Xenopus tropicalis: one gene and its partners. The protein of the gene in region 3 purifies or fractionates together with the protein of the main gene of each other region. This does not show direct contact. Links are inferred from orthologs where the notes say so. Each region holds a gene or a part of one and is shown on either strand. Other genes may lie near its edges.

The links.
Region 1: the proteins of kpna1 (region 3) and chd3 purify together in Homo sapiens (affinity purification with mass spectrometry; 3 studies listed by BioGRID and IntAct, with this or other methods). This does not show direct contact. The link is inferred for Xenopus tropicalis from reciprocal best matches to the Homo sapiens genes KPNA1 and CHD3.
Region 2: the proteins of kpna1 (region 3) and mau2 purify together in Homo sapiens (affinity purification with mass spectrometry; 3 studies listed by BioGRID and IntAct, with this or other methods). This does not show direct contact. The link is inferred for Xenopus tropicalis from reciprocal best matches to the Homo sapiens genes KPNA1 and MAU2.
Region 4: the proteins of kpna1 (region 3) and phax purify together in Homo sapiens (co-immunoprecipitation; 4 studies listed by BioGRID and IntAct, with this or other methods). This does not show direct contact. The link is inferred for Xenopus tropicalis from reciprocal best matches to the Homo sapiens genes KPNA1 and PHAX.
Region 5: the proteins of kpna1 (region 3) and c12orf45 purify together in Homo sapiens (co-immunoprecipitation; 3 studies listed by BioGRID and IntAct, with this or other methods). This does not show direct contact. The link is inferred for Xenopus tropicalis from reciprocal best matches to the Homo sapiens genes KPNA1 and NOPCHAP1.
Region 6: the proteins of kpna1 (region 3) and mta2 purify together in Homo sapiens (co-immunoprecipitation; 3 studies listed by BioGRID and IntAct, with this or other methods). This does not show direct contact. The link is inferred for Xenopus tropicalis from reciprocal best matches to the Homo sapiens genes KPNA1 and MTA2.
Region 7: the proteins of kpna1 (region 3) and alkbh5 purify together in Homo sapiens (co-immunoprecipitation; 3 studies listed by BioGRID and IntAct, with this or other methods). This does not show direct contact. The link is inferred for Xenopus tropicalis from reciprocal best matches to the Homo sapiens genes KPNA1 and ALKBH5.

What each region holds. Positions count from the first base shown.
Region 1 is NC_030679.2:146,901,122-146,904,621, forward strand, and holds part of chd3 (chromodomain-helicase-DNA-binding protein 3), read right to left. Parts: intron 2,457-3,500; coding exon 2,307-2,456; intron 2,171-2,306; coding exon 2,062-2,170; intron 1,866-2,061; coding exon 1,733-1,865; intron 742-1,732; coding exon 546-741; intron 1-545.
Region 2 is NC_030677.2:113,781,220-113,784,719, reverse strand, and holds part of mau2 (MAU2 chromatid cohesion factor homolog), read left to right. Parts: intron 1-337; coding exon 338-441; intron 442-523; coding exon 524-601; intron 602-1,722; coding exon 1,723-1,788; intron 1,789-2,091; coding exon 2,092-2,175; intron 2,176-3,500. UniProt on the Homo sapiens protein: Plays an important role in the loading of the cohesin complex on to DNA. Forms a heterodimeric complex (also known as cohesin loading complex) with NIPBL/SCC2 which mediates the loading of the cohesin complex onto chromatin.
Region 3 is NC_030678.2:3,401,791-3,405,290, reverse strand, and holds part of kpna1 (importin subunit alpha-5), read right to left. Parts: intron 3,144-3,500; coding exon 2,965-3,143; intron 824-2,964; coding exon 636-823; 3' UTR 1-635. UniProt on the Homo sapiens protein: Functions in nuclear protein import as an adapter protein for nuclear receptor KPNB1. Binds specifically and directly to substrates containing either a simple or bipartite NLS motif.
Region 4 is NC_030677.2:168,318,861-168,322,360, forward strand, and holds part of phax (phosphorylated adapter RNA export protein), read right to left. Parts: intron 768-3,500; coding exon 647-767; intron 1-646. UniProt on the Homo sapiens protein: A phosphoprotein adapter involved in the XPO1-mediated U snRNA export from the nucleus.
Region 5 is NC_030679.2:50,216,090-50,220,371, reverse strand, and holds the start of c12orf45 (uncharacterized protein C12orf45 homolog), read right to left. Parts: upstream 2,801-4,282; 5' UTR 2,696-2,800; coding exon 2,623-2,695; intron 1,292-2,622; coding exon 1,205-1,291; intron 134-1,204; coding exon 1-133. UniProt on the Homo sapiens protein: Client-loading PAQosome/R2TP complex cofactor that selects NOP58 to promote box C/D small nucleolar ribonucleoprotein (snoRNP) assembly. Acts as a bridge between NOP58 and the R2TP complex via RUVBL1:RUVBL2.
Region 6 is NC_030680.2:36,848,645-36,852,706, forward strand, and holds the start of mta2 (metastasis-associated protein MTA2), read right to left. Parts: upstream 2,801-4,062; 5' UTR 2,682-2,800; coding exon 2,654-2,681; intron 1-2,653. UniProt on the Homo sapiens protein: May function as a transcriptional coregulator. Acts as a component of the histone deacetylase NuRD complex which participates in the remodeling of chromatin.
Region 7 is NC_030685.2:16,055,302-16,058,801, reverse strand, and holds the end of alkbh5 (RNA demethylase ALKBH5), read left to right. Parts: intron 1-1,903; coding exon 1,904-2,044; intron 2,045-2,456; coding exon 2,457-2,643; 3' UTR 2,644-3,163; downstream 3,164-3,500.

The DNA of each region.
Region 1 (3,500 bases), on a different chromosome or scaffold from region 3:
GAATCCTAATTTGCATATGCAAAAGAATTGATTTTAATTAATTGGTTCGACCTTCAGGCACTCGGATTCGGCAGAATCCTGCTGAAAAAAGGCCGAATCCTGGCCGAACCTGCAGTTATTTTCAATTGGCACTAGGGGGAGCTCCCTTTCCTTCAATGGGGATACACAGACAACAAGGTTGAGGAGACCGCCTCATACGTATGCAAATAAACACAAGGAATTCTGGGAACTAATCCCAGCAGGTTTAGCCTACAGGATAAACCCATGTATATGGGATTTTCTTTGGAATTAGTTTCCAGAATCCCTTGTGTTTACTTGAATGGGGGATCAAGACCTTGCTTCGCGATTGTGGTTGAACTATAACACGGAGAGTCCAGATAAAATAAATAACGGAAAGTGTAATTCTCTGCTCTGTTGGTTGTGGCCACATATACCAATGAAACAACGTTGCTACAGTCTTTTGTTTCCGCGGAACATGTAGCCAGAACCAACAGTATCTGTGCCCCATTAAGCATATTTGCCCCTAACAGTCTCCCCTCGGGTACCTTTATGAAGCACGGCATTGGCTGGCTTGTTCCCCGCTAAGGACTCCTTGGAGAGGTGCTGGTGACTCTCGGCGAGACATTCCACCTCGGAGAAGCGAGCGTTAAGGGCCATGGCTGGGTGAGAGGGGTCCTGGGTCATGTTGAGATAGGCTGCCCTCCGTAGCTGCTCCTCAATCACTAAGGCCTGCTCCAGCAGCTAAGGAACGAGCAACAGAGACAGGTCACGCCAAGCTGCCCCTTTACTTAACCCGATTAGGGTTAAAGTAACTGATACATGGGTGGGATTACACAGTTGAGTGGGCAGGACAAATGCAGATAGATGGGAGGGACAAACATAAGGGCAGAGCAAACAGATACATGGGTGGGATTACAGTTGGGTGGGTGGGGCAAATTGATACATGGGTGGGATTACACAGTTGAGTGGGTGGGACAAACTCAGATAGATGGGAGGGACAAACATAAACAATGACATCAACACAAGGTGAGTGGGTGGGGCAAACTGATACATGGGTGGGGTTACAAAATTGAGTGGGTGGGACAAACTGATACATGGGTGGGAATACAAAGTTGAGTGGGAGGTACAAACATAAGCAGGCGAGACCAACTCAAAGGTGAGTGGGTGGGGCAAATGGATACATAAATGGGATTACAGTTGAGTGAGTGGGACAAATGCAGATAGATGGGAGGGACAAACATAAGCAGGAGAGACCAACACAAAGGTGAGTGGGCAGAGCAAATGGATACATGGGTGGGATTACAGTTTAATGGGTGTGACAAACTCAAAAAGATGGGAGGGACAAACAGCAAACTGACACGAGTGGGATTACACAGTTGAGTGGGTGGGACAAATTTAGATAGATGGGAGGGACAAACATAAGCAGATGACATCTACACAAGGTGAGTGGGTGGGGCAAACTGATACATGGGTGGGATTACAGTTGAGTGGGTGGGACAAACAGATAGATGGGAGGGACAAACATAAGGGCAGAGCAAACTGATACATGGCTGGGATTACACAGTTGAGTGGGTGGGACAAACTCAGATAGATGGGAGGGGCAAACATAAGCAGATGACATCAACACAAGGTGAGTGGGTGGGGCAAAGATAGACAGATGAGACCAACACAAGGTGAGTTGTTGGGGGAACGGCGCAGGTGAATAATAAAAAGTGGAAAGGCGGAGCCAGACCTTGAATCGCCGAGCAAGAAATTTGTTCTTCATCTCCAGGAAATTTCCCTTGTTGGCCTCCGATTTAAAGGGTTCATTGATGATGGCGAATGGGGAATCGTTCTGAATGTCTTGCCAGCGAGCGTAGCCATGTCTGTGAGAGGGTTAAGCAAATGAAACAGACACTGCCCTAGTAGAGACACAGCCTATAGGACTACAGAAACTGTTCACAGTCGCCCCTGGGGACGGAGCACGGAACCCTCCACCCATGCAAAGCAACGTAAAGATCGAAAGGCGTTTGAGTACAAAGGGCAGTAATTGAACATTGTGATTGGTGCAGGGAAGGATACACCACAATGCCGGCCAATAACCAGTAATCGTGCCGGCGATGCCAGATGTCATTCAGCCTGCCGGAGCAGATGGCCGCTCTCTCCTCATTCTGCCACAGGGTATGGAGTTCTGCAGGCAACAGGATGGAAAATCATTACCTGAGGGGTCCCATGTAGCACCCCAAGCAGATTTGAGGGGCATCACCGCTTACACACAACCGATATGTGCGAAGGTATGTCTGGTCTGCCCCACTGGCTTTCCTTACCTGTGAACCCACCATCTGCGATGTTAAACATAAATCTTGGTCTTTCTGGTCTGTTCTCTTCTTTCCTCCCATTGCTGCTCTTCACTTCTTCCTTCTGAATGTTCATTTTGGTGTCCTTCACAGCTTCTCTCTCTGGCTTCACCTCCTCTGCTGGCCAAGGAAATAATCATTATATAGGGTTCATCTGAAATGTGCTCCATACACACAGATAGGAGCTGTGAGTCTGCCCCTCCCCCTGCAGGGTGACACAGACAGAAGGAGCCGTGAGTCTGCCCCTCCCCCTGCAGGGTGACACAGTGACACAGACAGAAGGAGCTGTGAGTCTGCCCCTCCCCCTGCAGGGTGACACAGTGACACAGACAGAAGGAGCCGTGAGTCTGCCCCTCCCCCTGCAGGGTGACACAGTGACACAGACAGAAGGAGCCGTCAGTCTGCACCTCCCCCTGCAGGGTGACACAGACAGAAGGAGCTGTGAGTCTGCCCCTCCCCCTGCAGGGTGACACAGACAGAAGGAGCCGTGAGCCTGCCCCTCCCCCTGCAGGGTGGCACAGTGACACAGACAGAAGGAGCTGAGTCTGCCCCTCCCCCTGCAGGGTGACACAGTGACACAGACAGAAGGAGCTGTGAGTCTGCCCCTCCCCCTGCAGGGTGACACAGTGACACAGACAGAAGGAGCTGTGAGTCTGCCCCTCCCCCTGCAGGGTGACACAGTGACACAGACAGAAGGAGCTGTGAGTCTGCCCCTCCCCCTGCAGGGTGACACAGTGACACAGACAGAAGGAGCCGTGAGTCTGCCCCTCCCCCTGCAGGGTGACACAGTGACACAGACAGAAGGAGCTGTGAGTCTGCCCCTCCCCCTGCAGGGTGACACAGTGACACAGACAGAAGGAGCTGTGAGTCTGCCCCTCCCCCTGCAGGGTGACACAGTGACACAGACAGAAGGAGCTGTGAGTCTGCCCCTCCCCCTGCAGGGTGACACAGTGACACAGACAGAAGGAGCTGTGAGTCTGCCCCTCCCCCTGCAGGGTGACACAGTGACACAGACAGAAGGAGCCGTGAGTCTGCCCCTCCCCCTGCAGGGTGACACAGTGACACAGACAGAAGGAGCTGTGAGTCTGCCCCTCCCCCTGCAGGGTGACACAGACAGAAGGAGCCGTGAGCCTGCCCCTCCCCCTGCAGGGTGACACAGTGACA
Region 2 (3,500 bases), on a different chromosome or scaffold from region 3:
CCCAGAAGGCTCTCCAGGTTGACTAGAGTAGTCGAATTGAAGAGAGAACTGAACAGGAAGTGGGGGCAGGCCTTCACTCTGCACAAGGAAGCAAAGGAAAGGATTAACTTCTAACTGAGGAACCAGGTCAGACTTTCATTCTTAAAATTAACAGTATTTAAGATGGACCTATTCTAAGCAGCTTTTTCTGTTGGTTTTAATGTTTAATTAGATGGGGTTTTTTGTTTTTTTTTAACTCCCATGCATTGGGGAATTTTGTAGTGAATTTTCAGCTATGTTGACACAATGCCCTGTGTACCATTGGAATACTAAATTAACCAATATTTTTTCTTCTCAGTGCTGGATAGCAGTCCTATCCTATCTTCTTTCCAAGTCATCCTTTTGGAACATATAATCATGTGTCGTCTTGTGACAGGACACAAAGCCACAGCTTTACAAGAGGTAGAGATGTTAAACTGGTAATAGAGAATTTTGCAGATGCCTGTGAAATCTTTTTCATTTTACATCTGTCTTTATTTCTCAGATATCCCAGGTATGCCAGCTCTGCCAGCAGTCTCCACGTCTGTTCTCTAACCATGCAGCTCAACTCCACACATTACTGGTAAGTAATAAATAGTTATGGAGCCACATCACTGGTTCTACTTTTTTTTTTCCAATGGAGAGTGCTTATGGTGTTTTAAATATTTAAAGTATGGTGCCTTCCCCATTCGATCTTGCACACCATAAGTGGCAGGCAATTATACTGACTATTTTGAAGAATATCTGGGAGGAAGCCACAGATTTGTGTAAAACTTCCTTATTATAACACAAGATAGATTAATCAACTTTAAAATTCTCTCTACTATTACTCAGCTGATAAATAACACAGGGTTTTTCCAAGTAAATCCTCTGCTTGTCCCCTCTGTTATCACCTCACTGCTGATTTTCTGTGGTTTGTGGGTATGCCCATTAATCGAGAAGTTCTGGTGAACAGTGGTTTAATGTCTTAGTGACAACCTAGCATTACCTCAAGTCATCTCTCCTTAAGTGTGCTAATTAGGGGGCCAATTCATTAAAACACGAGTTCGAAAAATTCGGATTGGATACGATAATTTCTGAAGATCGCAAATATCACGAAAATGCTTACGGAAAAAGCTTATTAGTCATGATAATATCGAATTGGCGATCCGAAAGTCACAAAATTTTCGTACCGAACAATTGTAAACAGTGACAGAACCTTCTAATCCTAATTTTTCATGCAAGCGTACGAAAAAGTTGCGCGGGTGTACGAAAAGTCGAGCAAGCGCGAAAAAAACGCTGAAAATACGCTCGGAGCGTTCGTGTCTTAATAAATCTCCCCCTTGGTGTGTAATAAGCGATCTAGTTTTTTATAAACATACCAGAATACTTTATCAAACTCTTATTTTATGCTAAAAAAGTGATTTGTAGCTCACTGGCTACAACCTAAGGCCCCTGCCTTCTTTACTGGCTAAACTTTAGTCAGTCTTATGCTTCCATTAATTACACTAACATATGAGGCATGTGGAGAGCTGGCTTGAGACTACCTAGCATTAAACCCCATCGAACCTGTGTACTTGAGCTGTATCAATAAGTGGCGATTTATCTACCTTAATATGTGTGCTAAACACTAATATACTGTAACATATGACAATATTTGTTTTGCCAGCTTTTAAATTAAAATGCTCCCACACTTTATTTTTTCTAATTGTATTTATGTCCTAGGGCTTATACTGTATCTCTGTAAATTGCATGGATAATGCAGAAGCACAGTTCACAACAGCACTAAGGGTAAGTATGTTTGCCCTAGGTTTTTACATTGTAATGATCCAAACTGACAGCCTCCTATAAAATCAAGACAAGCCCTTATAAGGATATTCCTGACAACCCTACAAAGCATGCAATGCAGTTCATATATTGCTATCAAACTTGTTTTCTTCTGTATTGCCATTAGCCTTTTCTTATATAGGGAGATATTCATGTGAAAAAATACTTAATTCTGCCTAATCTTAAAACCTTTACTACTGTTGTACTTGTACGCAGAATTTTTGTGCGGTTAACTTTATAAATTATTTTTGACATTGATCTCCCCAGCTCACAACGCACCAGGAGTTGTGGACGTTTATAGTGACAAATTTAGCAAGTGTTTACATCAGAGAGGGAAACAGGCACCAGGAGGTAAGCTGACTGATATATTTTTCTTAATTTTTAACACGCCAAGAAAAATCACTAACCAAAAGACACAATAGAGTCCATTCAAATCTGCCATTCTCTTGCATCCCCAGTTCATTTCCTATGTGCATGTACCAGTATGTATGTTTCAGTCATTACGCGTTGCTTCGGTTTTCCAAAGTCACCTGAAGTTTCCTTGCAAGGCAACTTCGGGCAACCGAAGCAATGCGTATACCATCCCACCGGCGATTTACATTCTTGCGGGTGGGTTGGCATGTCGGGGAGATTAGTTGCCCGCAATAGTGAAGATTTATCACGGGTGAGTAATCTCCCCGTGTGCTACTGCCCTAAGTGCTTTTTATTGGCCACATCAAAACAAACTTCACGTAAATAGAAAAAAAGGACAAAAGCATAATTAAGATAATTAAGTGATAAACATTTTTTTTATTGGGCCAGTAAGCCACATTGGGCCTGATTCACTAAAGTTTATTGCACGCTTTTTTGTGGAAAAAAAGACGCGATTCACTACAGCATTACCGCATGCGATAAGTCGCATTTTCGCATGCGGTATTTCTCGCGCTAGTTTTACCGCATACGTTCATTTCCGTGCTGAAAAGAATACGATCGCATGATTCACTATAACTTTTGCGCGCTAAATATCGCATTCGGCTATGCGAAAATTAACACCTACTACAGGCAGGCGAAAAATTATACAAAAGTACAGTAAATGATTTTTTGCAATAAAATATGGACTTACAGTGTTATTTATTCAAGTATGTGTTTCCCCTAGAGTGCCCGCACAACATTTTTGCTGTTTCGTGGATCTTTCGAAAGATTTGCTAATTTTCACTAAAGATAACCAGAACACATTTGCTCATCACTAGTGGCTACTATTTATAAGCATCTACTATTTATATGATACCATTTATATGCTACCATTTATATGTGGCTAATATTTATATACACCATTTATATGCGGCGACAATTTTTATACACTATTTCTAAGCTACCATTCATATGCGGTGACTATTCGCGGGCGTAATTTAGCACATGTACCAGCAAATACCGCATTGAAATAGTCTTCGCAAGTTAAATAACGCATGCAATATCGCGCGTAAAAAAGCGCGAGTATGCTTATAGTGAATCGTGCGAAAAATCGCCAAAATTAAGATGCGGTAAAAATTTTAACGCACGCTATAAATAGCGCACGTTAAATCGCACTTTAGTAAATCAGGCCCATTGTGCAGTGTTTCTGGGGGTTGATCTAGGTTATTTTCGTTTAGGAGAAAACTGCACCATCCAGAAGGAAAAAGTTGAGCTGCAGCTTCATC
Region 3 (3,500 bases):
TTTCGTGTTTGGGATTTGCGGTTTTATAGCTAAATATTAATGCCGGTTCCCAGGCTGGAACAAAGCTCTCTCCCAGTTTGGCTTGTAGTTTCCCATGAAGCAGATATCGAGCGGTACAGTCGCGCGTCGTAGTGGCCTCGGGACAGTGATATTCTCGTGTCAGTATTAACGTCTCGTCCATTTCGTTTCCGTCCTTCTCCGCGGACGCGGCTCTGCCCGTGGAGTTCCTGTATACTTCTAATACTCGAGTCATATGAAATGAAGATATGTCAAAAGCACAGCAGGAGGGCCGACACCAGAACTGTAGTGGTGCTGAATGAGGCACGGCGTGGAACCTCTAGGACCAGGGCAAGCAGTCCCAATCCGCTGACAGCATCCGGCTGGGTCTGTCACGTAGCAACGAGGGGGGGGGGGGGGGGGGGGAGAAAGAGAAAAAATAAAAACTAGGTGGAAGCAAGAAAAAAAGAGGCAGAAAGAGAAGGAGAGGGGGAAATAAAAGGTGGCTGAATAAATAGAGAAGTGTAGGGGGGGCGGGAGTGAGCGAGAGCTTGAACACAGCAAACAGTGAGTGAGCGCTCTGGGGGGCACTCGCACTGCAGCACGCGGAGCCCAGCGCGGGGGGGGGGGGGGGGGGGTTAGAGCTGGAAACCCTCCATGGGAGCTTCTCGTTGCTGGAAGATGAACTGCTGCTGGCTGAGGTCCACCTGGGGGGCAATGCTGCTGTCCTCGTCCTCGGTGCCGAAGTAGTGCTCGATCAGGTCGAACGCCTTCTGGTAGATCTCCTGGTTTTCATGGCTCTGTAGGAACTCGATCTTGTCCAGTCCTAGAACAGGCAGGGATAGAACATAGGTGGGTCAGTGAGCACGGAACATCATGGGGGAGCTGGTCGGGCTAGAACCCCACAGCTGGTAATACTAACAGGGTGAAACGAGAGCCCCTAGCCCAAATAGGAGAGGATTCTGCTTTATTGTACTTTATGCTCTTAGGCTGATCTTGCCCTTGGTTAGGAAAGGGAGCGGGGTTGGGGGCCTGACAGAAATGGCTGTCCCGCTGCAGTCATATCTATGGGCCAAGGAAAGAGGAATAAAGAATTCTAATGCCAATCAACAGAGAGGGTGTAACAAAGCAGGAGTGGGAAACTGTCTGACTTAGAGCCACAAGGGGGCGAGCTTTCCCTATGGGCCCCTCTGTGGGATGTTAAAGAAACAGTTACACCAAAAAAGTGTTTTTAAGTAATTAAAATATAATGTACTGCAGCCCTGCACTGGGGTACAGCTGGGGTGTTTGCTACAGAAACCCTACTATAGTTTATATAAATACCCCGCTGTGTAGCCCCGGGGGCAGCCTTTCCTACACTGGTACAGCTGGGGTGTTTGCTACAGAAACCCTACTATAGTTTATATAAATACCCCGCTGTGTAGCCCCGGGGGCAGCCGTTCCTACACCGGTACAGCTGGGGTGTTTGCTACAGAAACCCTACTATAGTTTATATAAATACCCCGCTGTGTAGCCCCGGGGGCAGCCATTCCTGCACTGGTACAGCTGGGGTGTTTGCTACAGAAACCCTACTATAGTTTATATAATTACCCCGCTGTGTAGCCCCGGGGGCAGTCATTCCTGCACCGGTACAGCTGGGGTGTTTGCTACAGAAACCCTACTATAGTTTATATAAATACCCCGCTGTGTAGCCCCGGGGGCAGCCATTCCTGCACTGGTACAGCTGGGGTGTTTGCTACAGAAACCCTACTATAGTTTATATAAATACCCCGCTGTGTAGCCCCGGGGGCAGCCGTTCCTGCACTGGTACAGCTGGGGTGTTTGCTACAGAAACCCTACTATAGTTTATATAAATACCCCGCTGTGTAGCCCCGGGGGCAGCCGTTCCTGCACCGGTACAGCTGGGGTGCTTGCTACAGAAACCCTACTATAGTTTATATAAATACCCCGCTGTGTAGCCCCGGGGGCAGCCATTCCTGCACCGGTACAGCTGGGGTGTTTGCTACAGAAACCCTACTATAGTTTATATAAATACCCCGCTGTGTAGCCCCGGGGGCAGCCATTCCTGCACCGGTACAGCTGGGGTGTTTGCTACAGAAACCCTACTATAGTTTATATAAATACCCCGCTGTGTAGCCCCGGGGGCAGCCGTTCCTGCACCGGTACAGCTGGGGTGTTTGCTACAGAAACCCTACTATAGTTTATATAAATACCCCGCTGTGTAGCCCCGGGAGCAGCCGTTCCTGCACCGGTACAGCTGGGGTGTTTGCTATAGAAACCCTACTATAGTTTATATAAATACCCCGCTGTGTAGCCCCGGGGCAGCCGTTCCTGCACTGGTACAGCTGGGGTGTTTGCTACAGAAACCCTACTATAGTTTATATAAATACCCCGCTGTGTAGCCCCGGGGGCAGCCGTTCCTGCACTGGTACAGCTGGGGTGTTTGCTACAGAAACCCTACTATAGTTTATATAAATACCCCGCTGTGTAGCCCCGGGAGCAGCCGTTCCTGCACTGGTACAGCTGGGGTGTTTGCTACAGAAACCCTACTATAGTTTATATAAATACCCCGCTGTGTAGCCCCGGGGGCAGCCATTCCTGCACTGGTACAGCTGGGGTGTTTGCTACAGAAACCCTACTATAGTTTATATAAATACCCAGCTGTGTAGCCCCAGGGGCAGCCATTCCTGCAACGGTACAGCTGGGGTGTTTGCTACAGAAACCCTACTATAGTTTATATAAATACCCCGCTGTGTAGCCCCGGGGGCAGCCATTCCTGCACTGGTACAGCTGGGGTGTTTGCTACAGAAACCCTACTATAGTTTATATAAATACCCCGCTGTGTAGCCCCAGGGGCAGCCATTCCTGCAACGGTACAGCTGGGGTGTTTGCTACAGAAACCCTACTATAGTTTATATAAATACCCCGCTGTGTAGCCCCGGGGGCAGCCCACATGCTGGCACTCACCATATGCTTCTTCAATAAGAGCGCAGTAAGGGTTAATGCCTGTCCCGTTCCGCTTTGCCTCTTGCTCGCCCAGCCTCAGTATGTTTTCTAAGCCATTCAGGGCCACCTGTACGATCTTGGAATCCATGCAAGTCAGGAGGTCACAAAGAGGTTTGATGCAACCTAAATCAACCAGGTACCTAGGGTATAGAAGACAGTCAAGGGTTAAGCGATGTTTATACAGAGACAAACAGGACACCTCTCAGGCCCTAATGATCCACCTCTGTCATTTGCTGCCACTTAAAGTAGTTGTATCAGCTATAATCAAACATGTGACCTGTGCTCTGATATACTTCAGTCACACTTTACAGCTGCGCTGCAAGTTGGAGCGATATCCCCCCCCTCACCCCCAGCAGCCGATCAGCAGAACAATGGGAAGGGAGCAAGATAGCAGCTCCCAGTAGGTATCAGAATAGCACTCAATAGTAAGAAATCCAAGTCCGGCTTGGGACTCCTCCAGTTACATGGGAGTAGGAGAAACAATAGGTTAGCTGAAA
Region 4 (3,500 bases), on a different chromosome or scaffold from region 3:
TGCTCCTGTTGTCTCCAAATTAAGTTAAACAGGAAATGATGACACTGGTGCTTTTTAGATCCAAATGCTTAGCAGAGTGTCTTTGTATTGAAAAGTGATCAAAGATTTCCTGTTTAGTTGATAGGGAGCTTTGCAAAGGGAAAGAAGCACACCAGTTGTGTCGGCAATGCCTTTAAATCATTTATTTGCAGAAATGAGCAAAACAGCACAAGCTTTCGGGGGTGACCCCTTCTTCAGGTGCAATACACACAAGTGAACAATTTACTCACTAAATACCTTAACAGACCATGTGACACTAGCATGTGACCAATTAACCCCATCACGGCTGCAGTATCAAACAGTCCCAAGCAGCCATTCAATTATGTGAATTGACAACATTGAGAACATGTATGTAAGTGGTGTGCTGAAGATTTTTCTTTAGTTGATAGGGAGACCAGCAGTCTGAAATTGGAACAGTTAATGTCACTGAGAAAAACACTATTAAGGCTTGTTTAAATCTAAATAAAAGAAATAAAAAATGGCAGATCTCATACTTTAATACTCATATTGGAAGAGGTTTACAAAACATTTTTTGATGCAGTTTTGAAAGGAGCAATGTTTCCCATAAAATGCATTCCACAAATAATCGCATGTCGTTTTTCCTTACCAGAATAAAGAGTCCACCATTATGTTCCACTTCTGCAGTTTCCATAAGCAACTCAATAGCTTTCTTGGTTCCAAGAGTTTTTACAACCCGCTCTATTAAATCCTTCTTTGGCTCTCGGAGTCTGCAGGACATAGAAAAAATGAGAACTTCTTAGCAAGAGTGTCATGTTCATAATGTGCATGAAAAACTGAATTAAGTAATATATACCCTCTTGCTTTTATGTATATAAAAGCAAACTGCGTAATCTGCTAACATTACTGAACCAACAGGCTTATTACGTTATGTGCTCCATCTACTGCTCATGATCAGTTAATGCAGTTTTCGAACAGCCTTATATTATAGCAGCAGATTAAGGCACAGCTATGGGATCCATTCTAAAGAAACCCATTATCCAGAAAGCTCCAAATTACAGAAAGGCCATCTCTTATAGTGCATTATAATAAAATAATTCATATTTTTAAAAAGGATTTCCTTTTTCTCTGTAATAAAACAGTACCTTGTACTTAATGGTAACTAAATTGCATGAATCTATATTGGAGGCAAAACAATCCTGTTGGGTTTATTTCATGTTTAAATGATTTTTAGCAGAGATCCAATTTACAGTAAGATACCTTACCTGAACATTCTGGATAACAGGTCCCATACATGTAGTTATAAAATAAGCAATAAGTAGTTGCTTTCACTGCTGTCTGCAGGCAGGAATAAGGAGGAAACAACCCATCCCCTAAATCTTATAAGTTAATTGACATTGGTGACTGTCACTGTTAAATATTTTATTTAATTGATTATTAATTATTAATTGAAGTTCCTAAACCTGAGTGTTTTGCCAACCTGACTGTCCCTTCTCAGCCTGTCAGTTATAGCTTCTAATGCTAACAGACTCCTACTGCTGAACAAATATGGCACCCCCTCATAAAGGAACATGGGGGAACAGATAGGTTATGTAAAGGCAAAATAATAAAGCTCATGCAAAGACAATGTTATATTTAAAAAAAAACAAAAACCTTACATTTCAGGTGTTGGTATCTCCTTAAGCTAGTCATGGGTGCCAAATGTCATACAGTGGCACATGAGGCATTTTATCTCATTTTGATGTCTCCCACAGACGCCTGGCAGACATAATGCTAGGAAATATCTTAGAGAAAGCAGACTTAGTAGTGACATTTTACATAGTTAAATTACTAGTAAATCTCCCTGTAAAAGTGTATGGCAAGCTGTGTTCTTAGGGCACAATAGAGATTATTAAAAAATCATGAATGTCTGCATAAATCTTCTGCAAGTGCCATAACTTTCTGTCCTGGGGACATTTCTCGCAAAATTATGTTTAGATATTTTATGTCCTTATAAGAGTATTGTACAGACCTTTATGACACGTTATAAATATGGGAACATTTACACTGCATTACATTTACAGCAACTGAGCAATATGTTTAACATTATCATTTGTAAATAAAAATGCAATTTAATAAATTATTCTGTGCACTGAACATATAAAAGAAGCCTGTGAATTTAATATAGGGGTCTGTGCTGTGCACTGCAGTCTGACAACTGGGGGTCACTATCTGCAGGCTCAGGTTACTTAGTGGGGCTTTGGCAAGGAGCACACAGTAATTCTGGAGCATCTGTCCCAATGAATACAGGTTAGCTTTCTTACACTAACCATTCATAAATCTTATCCCCTGACTTATGAATGACCAAAGGCTTGCACCTGTTTCGAACACAAACCACAACCAGTGCCTTGTTTTCTACAACTGTATTTAGAGAACAGGGACACAAAATGTAATCTCTGAATTGCCATGACACTGACCATCACATATCACCCTATGCAAAACATGTCAGACTGAGACCCCTATTTGTGGCTCTTAAGCCTACTGTCAACATTGCCATAAATTGTAAGCTCTACTTCTACAGTTATTTCACATTTTGGAAAATTGCTTATTAAACATCAGAATTTCTTCTTTTGTGAGTCTGAAGGCAAAGAATTTATGATGCCCTCACTCAGTATGACGTTCACATTTTCGCAGCCTGCGGCATTTGCGTTTGAACTGCCTGCCCTATATCATGCCTCAAAATACAAGCAAAATATTTATTGAATAATGCTTTTTATTGATTTTAAAAATCGCAGCGACTAATCAACCCATCTGTCTTAGAGTTGGTCAATTACTCTTTACAAGATAATGCATGTGTAAATCTGCTTGACTGGGAAAGAGTAATTACAGGGAAAATAAATGCTGTCCCCATGTGGCCACTGGAAAATCAACACATCCGCTTAGCAGAAAGTGAGTTAAACATTTTGCCTTGGTTTGTGTTCAGCTTTTTATGCTCCAAAATTGGTACAAATGGATTGCACCAGTCATACAAAAGAATGGATCTTGATGTATATGCATCATAGTACAAGCAGTGCTTGGGACATTACCATAAATATAAGTTTAAAGTGATACATGGTGTAAAAACAAAAGAATATATTGTGATGAGCATATTTATTTTGGTGTAAATTAAATACCTACTTATAGAGGTGTGGTAGTAGCTTACATTTACATTAAAGGAGGAAAGGTAGTGTGTACTGTGTGTTACGGTTTGGGCCAAAAAATATTTTTATGCAGATGAGATAACAATAAAGCTGGACTTATCTAGAATCACTAGTGTACTAACTTGCAAGTTCCACGTCACTATTTTCATTCATGTACCAGGCACCCCCTGCACCTATTAAAGCTGGATGCATTAGCAAATGGCAGTATCACAAGTAATGTACCCCAGCCTGCTGAATTTTTAAGGAGGGCCAGTCCAGAAAGCCGCCCTTCTGAACCACACCCCAGCGGATCCCCAATACTTCTAGCCTGTTAGCTGCACCACT
Region 5 (4,282 bases), on a different chromosome or scaffold from region 3:
TCAATTATCTTCTCTTCCTTCTCATCCACGTGTTCAATGTCAAAAGTGCCAACTGGAGAAGATTCTATTTCCTTACTAAGACTTTCATTGGCCTTAGCCAGCTGAGGTAGGAAGTTCTGTACTCTGTCCAGAACTGAAAAGTAAGCAGCAACATCTGTAACCCTTACAGAGTAACATCTGGTTGTAAGAATACTAAGCATTATAAATCCAATGAATTAATGGAGTAATCTAGTGCCTGGCCAGCAGTACTGGATTAGACTTTGAAATGAGTCTACCCAGTCCTCAGACACCCTTAACAGTATAGGGAGATAGAGTAAACATCATGAAATAACAATTCTTCCTTTGCCAGCCCCTGACCAACAAATATAAAATTGTGCCATATAAGAAATGAGACTTAAAAACTATCTGCAACTGAACAAGTCAGTACTGTGAATGAGGCCTTAAGTGCTGCAAATTAAAACAAAATGTTCAGGTCTTTACAGCAGAACATGTTGTAATCATGATTTAACCATTTGAGCTGAATCTATTATAAATCCATTCATTCAGGCTGCCAGTATAACGCAGACCAACCACTCTTGACCAAGACAGCAGCTTTTTGGCCTACGTATGGAACCAAAATGATGGCTTTCCCTATCTAGTTGAACCTCCTGTTTGCCAAGGACCAGGATGTAATAACCCACCTATGTGAATGAATACCAGGCCAAACAAGGGGATCAGCCTGATTAGGCCCACAACCTAGAGAGGATATTATATATGAGAACATGGACATACCTTTTCTAAGTGCAATAGACAGCTTAACTGTTTCAGGTATACAGTTAATGCCCTGAAAACTGACCCCTGGCACTGCATTAGACATGAAATAACTGCACATATTGGCCCCATAATTGCTAGATGTAGCATAGAGCTTCAATAAATATTAAATAGTACAACAACCCTATTAAACTAAGAGCAAGCATTTGCCAATTTCTATAAGCTAAACATTCAGATTGTAATGTCCTTTTAACCATTATTATTTGTTTTTTTACCAGTGTAAACAGATTTTTATACATACTTGCAACAAAAGTTGTGTGTTTATTGAAAGGGGCAGAGAACTAATGTTTTAGTCTTTGTCTAAGTGTGCGCATATATATAATTAATATTATGCATATACTGGTAGGCACTGGCAATTCTATATATCTAAAGAAACAATCTGAATGTTACTTACTGCTGCTTCTAGGCATTCTGGTGATTGGTGAATTGGATCCTTGTTTATTGCTGTATTTCGGATTTATCAGAAGCTGATTGTAAAAGCCTAAACAAAAGGGAACAAACTATTACAACTATGAACTCGAAAAAAATAAATGCATATCCAACACTTTTCCACTAACAGAATGCTACCTGTAGTAATACATTGCAACATACAACTCTGGGCAGAAGAAAACTGCAATGCATTCTCTTTGATATCTAATATTTCCATTGGTTTACCATTTTTGAAGCATTAAATCCGTGGTGCCCAGAAAATGAAAAGTAGAAGTATTGCATCAGGATGTATTACACTGAAGTGTGACATTGCCAGTTTGCCATGGAAACTGCTACTTTTGATCTAATGGTACTGCTTTTGGACAGTACAAGGCTGCTGTATTGTACGGGTCACTAGCTGCATATCAGGCACCCCTGCTATAAGTTCTGGTATACAAACACTGAACCTACTTGCCTGATTGTCCCCATTATATTCATTGTTAAAACCTGGTTCTACTAAAATGATTATGTTGTACAAAATCTGAGCCCTTGAACAGCCTGGGTTTACTGCTATACAACCCTGGTATAGGGCTACTGTTACACAGTTAAGAAAAGGGTTTTCATTAAATGTTTCTCTCATACAAAGAAATAGACATATGTAACCAGAATTCTTATCACGGACTGATGCATATTTGATAGCATTCAACAAATTTCTACAAAGTGTTAAATACATTTATATATTTTTTATTTATATTTTAATACCGCATTTTTATTTTATCAATTAGAGAAACATAATTACTGTCAAATATAGATAATCACCCTGAATACTTTCTTTGTATCTACACTGTAGGTAGGTAGTGGTATAACCAATCATAAAAAAGCCATGTCCTGGAAATACATTATAGGTTACCCGTGAATACCGTCAGATAGGAAATACATGTACAGATGTATGTATGTATGTATGTATGTATATCTTTATTTATAAAGTGCTACTTATGTACGCAGTGCTGTACAGTAGAATCTTTATCAGACAGACATTTCCCATCCTGTACGATTAAATAAATGATTGATCGCCATACTATGAAAACTGTCAGTATGATATTTCCAAGCACATACACGGTCCAAAAATCATTCAAAAAGTTTTGTATGATATCGGTGCATGTATGGCCTGCTTAACCCATGGGTTTTCATCCAAATTAAAATAGTTCCATGCGTAGCAAGACATATTGAGAAGTCCTCAAAGCACAGCAAAAGACAAGGTATGATCTGCAGTTCCTGTTTTCTAAGATCTGCCCTACTACCAACACGTTAAAATGCAGACGTGACAATTAGCAACTCCCTGCAAGCAGTACATTTGGAAGGAAAGGCTACTTTTAACGCAGTTTTTGAGGCTGCCACCGTTACCTCCGCCACCACCGATATTAAGAAGCTCCTTTGAGTGCCCCTCCTCGACATTTCTACCCTCCGCTTTCTCCATCTACACGAGGAGAGGGTTCTAACAGCGTCCAACCGATCCAAGACAAACCTCAAGGCTTCCAGACCCACAATACTGACGTCACTGTGTAAACTCTCGACGCCCATTTTAGTTATTGGCAATTATCGTTAGGTTGAATAAATATGTTCCTGAATCTATAGATTTTAATATACGATATGCATCCTCCGTAATACCAATAACAATCGGTGCTGTTTATCGCAACTACGTGGTTGCATTTTTTCTGTGTTACATTTATGGTCAAATATTGCCAGTTTCTAGTATGGGTACCGGAAATACAATCAATCGCTTACTTTGGGTTACTACTTCCTACAAATGACTGCTGAACTGTATTGCAATTACTAGAGGAAAACTTGTTTAGGCGCCCTCTACTGGACATAATAGCAACACGTGCTGCAGACTTTTATACAGTAAATATTGACATATCGCTTGTTACCATTTCTGTGACTAATCTCCAATTAGAGAGCCTAGTTTAGTGTATAATTCTCGCCTACGTTGCTATTATTATATGACATGGGCGAAAGACAGCCTGGCCATTTCAGCTCGATTACATTTTGGCACTTGCAAGCATTACATTTATCCCTTATTTTGCCGGAAGGACGAATAACAGAAATGCCCCGCCCACCTGGGATGATAATTTGACTAAGGCGTGGGTAGGGGGCTTGACGTCAGGCCACATCAGCATTTGTGCCAGGCCTACTGGAGTGAGTTTGGCGCTTGCGCAGTAATTGCAGACGCTCCGCTGCTTAGAGACCGGGCAGAGAGGGATGAGAATATCGAGGGAAGCAACGCTATGGCTGGGGTATGCCCCTACTTGGGCAGGTAGGTGGGGAGGTTTCATTTATTGTGCGAGAGTCCTATGCGGGCTCTTCATTTTGTGTTTGGAGGGTGAGTTTTGTCACCTGTCTTCTGGCTGAGTTGTCCCGGTCCCGGGTGGGGGACCTGTGTATTAATTACATCATAGGCAACGTCATCCATGAGTAGAGAGAACCGTGACATCTGCTTGGTGTTGGGGTTAAGGAAGTCCTGCTGTGGGGGAATGAAAACAAATCCGTAGGGTTGAATACCGCCTGACTAACAGGGGAAACATTGTCAGCTCCAGGAAACAGCGTATTGTGGGGCTCTGTCCTTAGGAAATACATGATGTCTGATAGATACAGAGGCGAGGGAAACTACTTCTCTAGCGATGTTCTACTTATCCTTAAGGCAAAAGCTAGGGCCACACCTGTTGGTGATAGGGTAATGACAGCTAACTGGACAGAATAGTACTGCTTTAGGGAGCAGGTGTTTTTAAGGAAAAGGCATTCAGTTTGGTAAGGATACACGTCTCTAAATGACAGTGGCATAACTAGATGTTACTGCCCCACAGCAAATTTAATTTAGGGTCACAAAAAGCCAAGTTAACCTATAATATCAATATATATTAAAATGATTCATTAAAGGAGAAGGAAAGATAAAAAACATTCTGGGGTGCCCCAAATGTTAGGCACCCCCAGTGACTTTAATCGCTTACCTTTTACCCTGGGCTGGTGCCCCTTTTGGGAGAAAACCACACCTGCCCGGGTGCAGCTG
Region 6 (4,062 bases), on a different chromosome or scaffold from region 3:
ACATACTAAAAGTCAACTTGAAGGTGAATCACCTATTTAAAGGAACAGTAACCCTAAAAAATTAAAGAGCTTTAAGGTAATAAAAATATAATGCACTGTTGCCCTGCACTGGTAAAACTGGTGTGTTTGCTACAGTAACACTACTATAATTTATATAATAAGCTGCTGTGTAGCCACGGGGGCAGCCATTCAAGCTGGAAAAAAGGAGAAAAGGCACAGGTTACATAGCAGATAACAGCAGATAACAAATAAAACACTATTGTATTCTACAGAGCTTATCTGTTATCTGCAATGTAACCTGTGCCTTTTCTCCTTTGAATGGCTGCCCCCATGGCTACACAGCTGCTTATTTATATAAATTATAGTAGACTTTCTGAAGTAAACACACAACTTTTACCAGTGCAGGGCAGCAGCACATTATATTTTAGTTACTTTTATACACTTTCATTTTTTGGTGTTACTGTTCCTTTAAGCTAGCCCACATCTATTAATCAATCGGCAAGTAGTGTTTACTGGCCAGCTCTTTAAAAACAAACATCTAATTAGTTGCTATGAGGCCCGCACTGGCGATCTGTGGAGTCTGGCAAATGCCAGAGGGGCTGCTGTAAGATGCCATAGACCGTTACTATTTTTTGGGTGGGCTACTAAAAAAAAAAAATGTAACTATAGGGACTTAACATATGTTAACATAGGTACTTTGAGCAGGCAAATTTCTTTACTGTCCTGAAACATATAAAACATATTTCAGTAGGCATCACATATAAGCTTAACATACTGCTTCCTATGAATCCAATACACCTTTGTTATTATTATACTGCAGTTTAATTCCACGTTACAAAAACATGTAGGCTTATTAAAGGAGACGGTGGTGTAGAATGAAAAGGCTGGACTTTTGTTTTTAGTTCAGCTTTTCAGGGCTGTGGAGTCGGTAGATAAATTCTCCGACTCCTCAGTTTCTGATACTTCCGACTCCGACTCCTCTGTTTTTAACATGTTAATGTATTTTATACATTCATACAGTCAATGAAAAACATGCTTCATGGTCACTCAACGTGTTTGTTTATGCACTGCGTGCATTGGGCTTTATTCTTATAGCAGAGAAGTAATTAATTATGACTGTTTGTGAATTGGGACATTTAAACTTGCTTTATTTTTTTTTTATTCCCATTTAAATTTAGTAGGAGTCGGTTCATTTTTTGCCGACTGACTCCAGGTACCCAAAATTGCCTCCGACTCCTCGACTCCACAGCCCTGCAGCTTTTCACTTTACTGCGCTTGCACTCCCAGCTTAAAAAGCAAAGAGGAAGAGAATTGCCCTGTGGTGCCACTACAAAAATACCCCAGTCCAGTGCAGTTTTCAGCAAATGGGAGAAATGGCCCTGGGTACCAGGCAACTAACTGTAATCACTGTGGGAAGGGGGGGTGCTTGAACTTCCCTTCTTTTTAACCGACACCTGATGAAATTCATCCACTTGTGTGAATGCAATCTATCACATTAGACTGTAAGCTTTACTGGCACCACAACTGATACAAAGGATAAATGATCAGACTACATTAATAAGAAGGCTCTTTCACAGATTATGGAATGTTAATAAAGGTTAGTTAAGAAAATAAATTGTAAATACCCACAAATTTCTTATGCAAACAAAAAAATGTAAAAAATCCTATATAAATATGTATAAACAAGTGTAAAGAAAATTAACACTTGGGGATAAAAAAGTTGTGTAAATACCAGCTTTGATTGTGTTCAAGATAGACAGGTTATAGTTATATGCTGCAGGATAATGAGAGTTCAACATGTCCTTGGGCAGCCATGGCCCAGAAACAGTGGATTACAGTCAGGTCAAGATTGACAATCAAAAGTGGCCCTGGCTTTTCAAGTAGACAGAGGCCCAAAAAGCCCAATAAATATTGACTGCCTATAGAATCTACCTGCAGCCCCTCTGGCATTTGCCAGATTCCATAGATTGGCAGTACAGTCCTGGTTACAGGGTCATCTACCTGATAAGCAATTTGGCACAGAAGCCCTCTGAGCAAGATCAGCAGGGGTTATTCTCATGGAAGCTCCCTGTCTTACACACACAAGCAGTGACAGACAGACAGACCTCACAGAAGCCAGTGCACAAAGTCAGGGCAGTTTCCATTGATCAATATTATGAACAGTGACAAACAGGCAGGGTACATAAGGGGTGGTCCTAACAGCCCCGGCCACTAAACTAGGCTGAGTGTGATTGAGTCAGGTAAAGAGTAACCGGGCTAGTTTAATACTGCAGAAACAGCACAGCAGCATTTTAGTATTTAGGTTACATACTGACATTTGTGTGTGTGTGTGTGTGTATGTATATAAATATATATATTTATGATCTATGTGTGCATATATATATATATATATATTATGTGTGTATTATATATTTTCTGCATTAGACTAAAGACACACAATGCACAGAAATAAGATAAAGATAATCATTCTACATTTCTGCATGTAAATAAAAAGCGTTTACTTTAATTCAGCATTCGGTGCTCGCTACTCTGTACAGATGATGTATGGGTATAGACTCTCCCTCTACAGCGGATAAAGTGTGTGTTTAACTACATAGTATAAAGCTCTACAGATATGCTTTCGGCTCAGAATGATTTTACTGTGAGTTCTCACCTCCCACCCGGTACATATTAGCCGCCATCTTGCTCTCTCCCGCGCACAATAACTCGGGAATCTGCGCGCGTTTCCGGGGCCTGTGGGGGGAGAGGAAGGGGAAGAAAGAGGGGCAACTTCCGGCATAAAGAAGCGAGCAGCCTTCCGGGGGAGGGACAAAGCGTTCGATTGAAAGAATTATATCCGGACATAAACGAGTGCTTCCGGAATCAACTGATGACTTCCGAAGAGGGAGACGGGAAAACCCGAACTTCTCCGAAGTAAACGACGCACAAAGGCTGCAGTCAGTAGAACGCGCTCGGAAGGAGGAAGTAGTTGTGGACGCATTAAAGTGATGTGCGGCAGAGTTGGTCTGCTAGTATCCCTTACTTTTAATAACTGGTAAAATGCTGGTTTAGTGAGTAACGACATACACGTCCCTATGGTTTAAGTTTACTCTATCTGAGCTTTATGGAATATAATATACAAATCGTTCTGTAATATGCGGTGTATTATATATATATATATATATATATATATATATATATATATGTGTGTGTGTAATATATATTACACAAAATGTGTGAATAATTCAATAAAGGTGCTGCTCAGTAATGTCATCATTTATAATTGGTGCTTATTGATTGAAAGGCTCTTGCTATTACAGGATGTAACAAATCACATGATGCCTGATTTTAAAGGAGAACTAAACCCCCTAGGTAGAAAAGCCCCACTCAACTGACCTCCATCTGCCTCCTCACCTTTCCTACCCTGCATAGTCTATTTAATAACAAAGTGTCCCTATCTGAACAACTGAAATAAAAATGCAGCACAGCGCAGATTGCAGGCTCCATCTTCACTCCCTTCGATCTTCTTTGTGTCTCTCCGCCAACACTGACCCTGCAGGAGTATGTAGAGTTGTGATTCCGCACTAGATTCAACTGTGCATGCTCCTGCTTGCTCCATGTTTCATAAATGAAATACTGCATTCTGTGATTTTGTCCTTGTAAGGGGTGAGTATAATTGTTTGAAATCAGCCGTGTATAAGTTGGCAAAGGAAGGGGCTACATTAGAGCCCATACTTGTATCACTAACTTATTGGTAGTATAAAAGTTCAAATTTAAAATAATAATTGGAGAGACAGCATTCCAGTAATTCCATAAGAAATTCATTACATGGCCATGTACTGTCTAGATGGGCAATCGGATGTTGGCGGATTGTTTGGATACCCAAGTATGTAGGGATCACTATATAAAGAACGTCTATAGCAAGTTTACTGTTGAGAGATAAAGGCAATGCTGTTTTAACTTTGGTTAAAAAGTCCCCAGTGTCCTTATTCTAGATATCCCTTGTAGTTTTGGTTAAAGAAAGTCCATATAGATAGCTATTGGTTGTAAAATAGACTTTATAGCACTTACTATGGGACGGCC
Region 7 (3,500 bases), on a different chromosome or scaffold from region 3:
GAGATGTGGGGGGGGGGGGCGTTTAAATTGGGGGTATCGCTGAAATCTTCTGCATACCTCCTGTGCTGTTTCAGTTCCCTATCATTATGTGCTGTGAGGGGAAACGAAAGGACCTGGGGTTAGTCTCTTCTGTGTTTTGTCTCAGTAGGAAACGTGGCTAACGTTCTAGCATTGCTGAAAAACTTTAAAGGGGAAGTATGATGTTAGGATACATGGGCCGATGTCATCACCAAGTGAGTGGATCTTCTCCCGATATCCCCACCTATGGGTGGGCGATATCGGGAGGAAGCAGGATAATTCTATTGTTTGGCCCTGGGGCCAAACAATCGAATTATAATGAAGGGCACAGGAAAAGTCGGTCCGGGGACCGCATCAACGAGCCGATGGTCCCCGATCCAACTAGATATCGGTCGGACAGGCCTGTCGGTAGTGCCCCTACACGGGCCGATTCGCTGCCGAATCAGTCTAAGGGACCCATATCGGCAGCTAGAATCCGCCTGTGTATGGGGACCTTTAGGACCTCCCATATGGGTATTACATTTCAGTGTAACAATCCTTAGGCACCATATATTTATAATTACCCACATGATTAGGGTAATTGTACTGCCTATGGGGAATAGAATCTGTCTGCAAAGTTCCTCTTGTTGGCTCCAAGTCTGTCCATTAATCTCTGTATGCTAGCTGCTGGCCCAAACAAGCATCTTTACCCCCTCAGGGTGAAGACACACAGAGCTACTAGTAGCAGCTACTTGTCACGGCTACTAAAATACAATGCTGATCCTTTACTGATACCTGCCAGCTCTGACTGAAATGGTCATGTTGGCACCCTATGTACAGTCGGCTTTTGTATTGCAGTCCCTGCGGCTGTTCCTTTTTCCTTTCCTGCTTCATTTCTGCAGCACAATGGAGTCAGTTCATATCTGAGCAATTTCTCTTTCCGCTTCGGTACTTCTCATTCTGTGTGCGCCTGTGCAAGCAGAGCCCCCACACCTGTACTTCTCAACTCACGTCCCACATGCGTGATGGTTGGGTTGGTTTGCAGCAAGGCTTAACAGTGAGCCCCAGGGTAGCACAGTGTACAATACAGTATTGGGCCTTTTGCTTCCTAAAATAGTAAGGATCATTTGTTGCTGAGCAGATAATCTCATGGCACTGAAAAGGTTACAGGGGTGGTTCACATTTACAGCATACTTGTGGTATGTAGATTGTGATGTTCTGGGACAATTTGCAATTGGTCTTCATTTTTTTTATTCTGAATGGTTTTTCAGCTATTTAGGCAGATAAGTAATAAAAGATAACAATAAAACTATAGCCTCCCAGAGCAGTAGTTTTTCCCTAGTTTGAAAGCTGGAAAGATGAAGAAGGCAAATAACTCACAAACTATAAAGAATAAATAATGAAGACCAATTGCAAAATTGTTAGTAATATGCCAGTATAAAAGGTAAACAACCCCTTTAAGGATGTTGAAGAATGTGGTTCACAGTTTAGGGCTCAGGTGGGTTGTTTTTTTGTTTTTTTTGTTTTTTTGTTTTTTTTTACCCAATAAGGTAACATTTATTCCCAGAACCTGTGGCAAAAATGTTAAGGCAGACGCCAGAGAAGCAACTTGGACCTGTGAGAGATGGGGGCACCCAAGTGGCATATGGATGGACATTTACAGTGTCTTCAGTGGTGTGCTTTTTATTGCCTTGGAGAGCACCTACTGGTGTAACACTTACCACCTGTTGTACCCCATGTACTAGTCCAGTTGGTGCAATTTGTATGCATTGTATATGGCATTTTTATGGGTGCACCCCCCCTTGCATTTCTAAATAAACTCACAGAAATAATGCATCTTTTGTCCTTTTAACATATATATAATATATTATTGAGATATTTCTCTTTATACCTTTTCTCCCAACAGAACCAGAACAGAGGCTCCTCGACTGGAAATGAAATCACTGAGCAGCAGTTACCAACCTGAGCGCCTGCAAGGCAGCAACAGGCAGCATATACTAAAACCAAAGCGGTCCCATCGCAAGGCTGACCCAGATGCTGCTCACAGGTAAGGGGTTATGGTGGTCATACATGCTAAGATCCGCTTGCTTGGCGATATCGGGCTAATTTGATCATTTGACCCGGGGCCAAACGATTGAATTAGAACGAGGAGTATAGACGCCCTTCGGTTCGAGGACCGTATCAGCGAGCCGATGTGGTCCCCAAAAAAAATCAAACCTGCCCGATCGATATCTGCCTGATTTCAGGCCAGATATCAGTCGGGCAGGCCCGTTGTTAGTGCCCATACACGGGCCGATAAGCTGCCGATATCAGCAGCTAGAATCGACCTGTGTATGGCCACGTTTAGTCGTGGTGGCTCCAGTTGAGCTACCCACATGGTTCTGTGTTTGGGGGTGGTGGGGGTGTAAGTAATAGGCAAAGCAGGATCATTTTCTGTAATCGGCTGTGTTTCTCTGCAGACCTCGCATCCTCGAAATGGATAAAGAGGAGAACAGAAGGTCGGTACTTTTACCAAAACAGAGGAGGCGGAGCCACTTCAGCTCCGAGAACTATTGGCGAAGGTCACATGATTATGTGGACACCTATACAGAAACGGGAGAAGACGACGGCAGCCCAGTCCGCAAAGTTAAAATGAGACGACACTGAGGCGGCCACTTTTCTGATCCCAAGAAGTTCTGACTTTTTCAGACTTTCTGATTTTTTGTTTCTCCCACTCGGCTCTCCACCGTTTCTCTGATATTGCCCCGTGGCTATGGGGGTGCATTGTAAATGATGGTTCCCCGCTGCTCGTGTTTATACCACCCCACCCGGGTCTGATTGTCCTCATCACACAACAAAAATTGGAGGTGTGCAAAAGCCAAGGGGTACCATGAATACTGTTGGAGGGGGACACAAGTTACCCTGAATACTGTTGGAATCGGTGGCTGCCAGGAAGTCTGTCAGCGCTGTGAGTTAAAAGCTGCACCTTGGCGTATAGTAAGGATCCCCATTGCTTGCTTGGCAGCTGCAATGAGGGACCAGAGCGCGTCGGAGTACAATATACAAAGACTCCCGTGGAACAGTCGGTTGATGTTTCAATGTTTTGTTTAGCACAGTTTCTCCAACCCTCACCCCTTTCTTCTGTTTCCCCCTCCCCCTAAATAAAAGAAACCATTCTAATCACTAATCAGGGGAACAACCCATAATTATTGATGCAGTTCTGCTTAGGCAGATTTCTGTGTGTTTAACACCCCCTCACCCCCCAGCTGGAAGATGCTGTATGGTTGTGACAAGGTGCCAGGGGGTTTATGGATTGCTGACTTGAGAATACAGCTGGCCAAGTCACTCACTCTCTTCTGCATCCTTTAAAGGGAAACTACAAGTTCTTTATATGAAAAAGCACTCCCTGCCTCGAGTGTACACAGTTGGATGTGGCACTTTTTTCATATGGGAATATTTTTTAAATTTCACCTCGGACTCCATTCTGCCCGTTTCTAAGCAGCACGCGGTTTGAGCATGTCCGA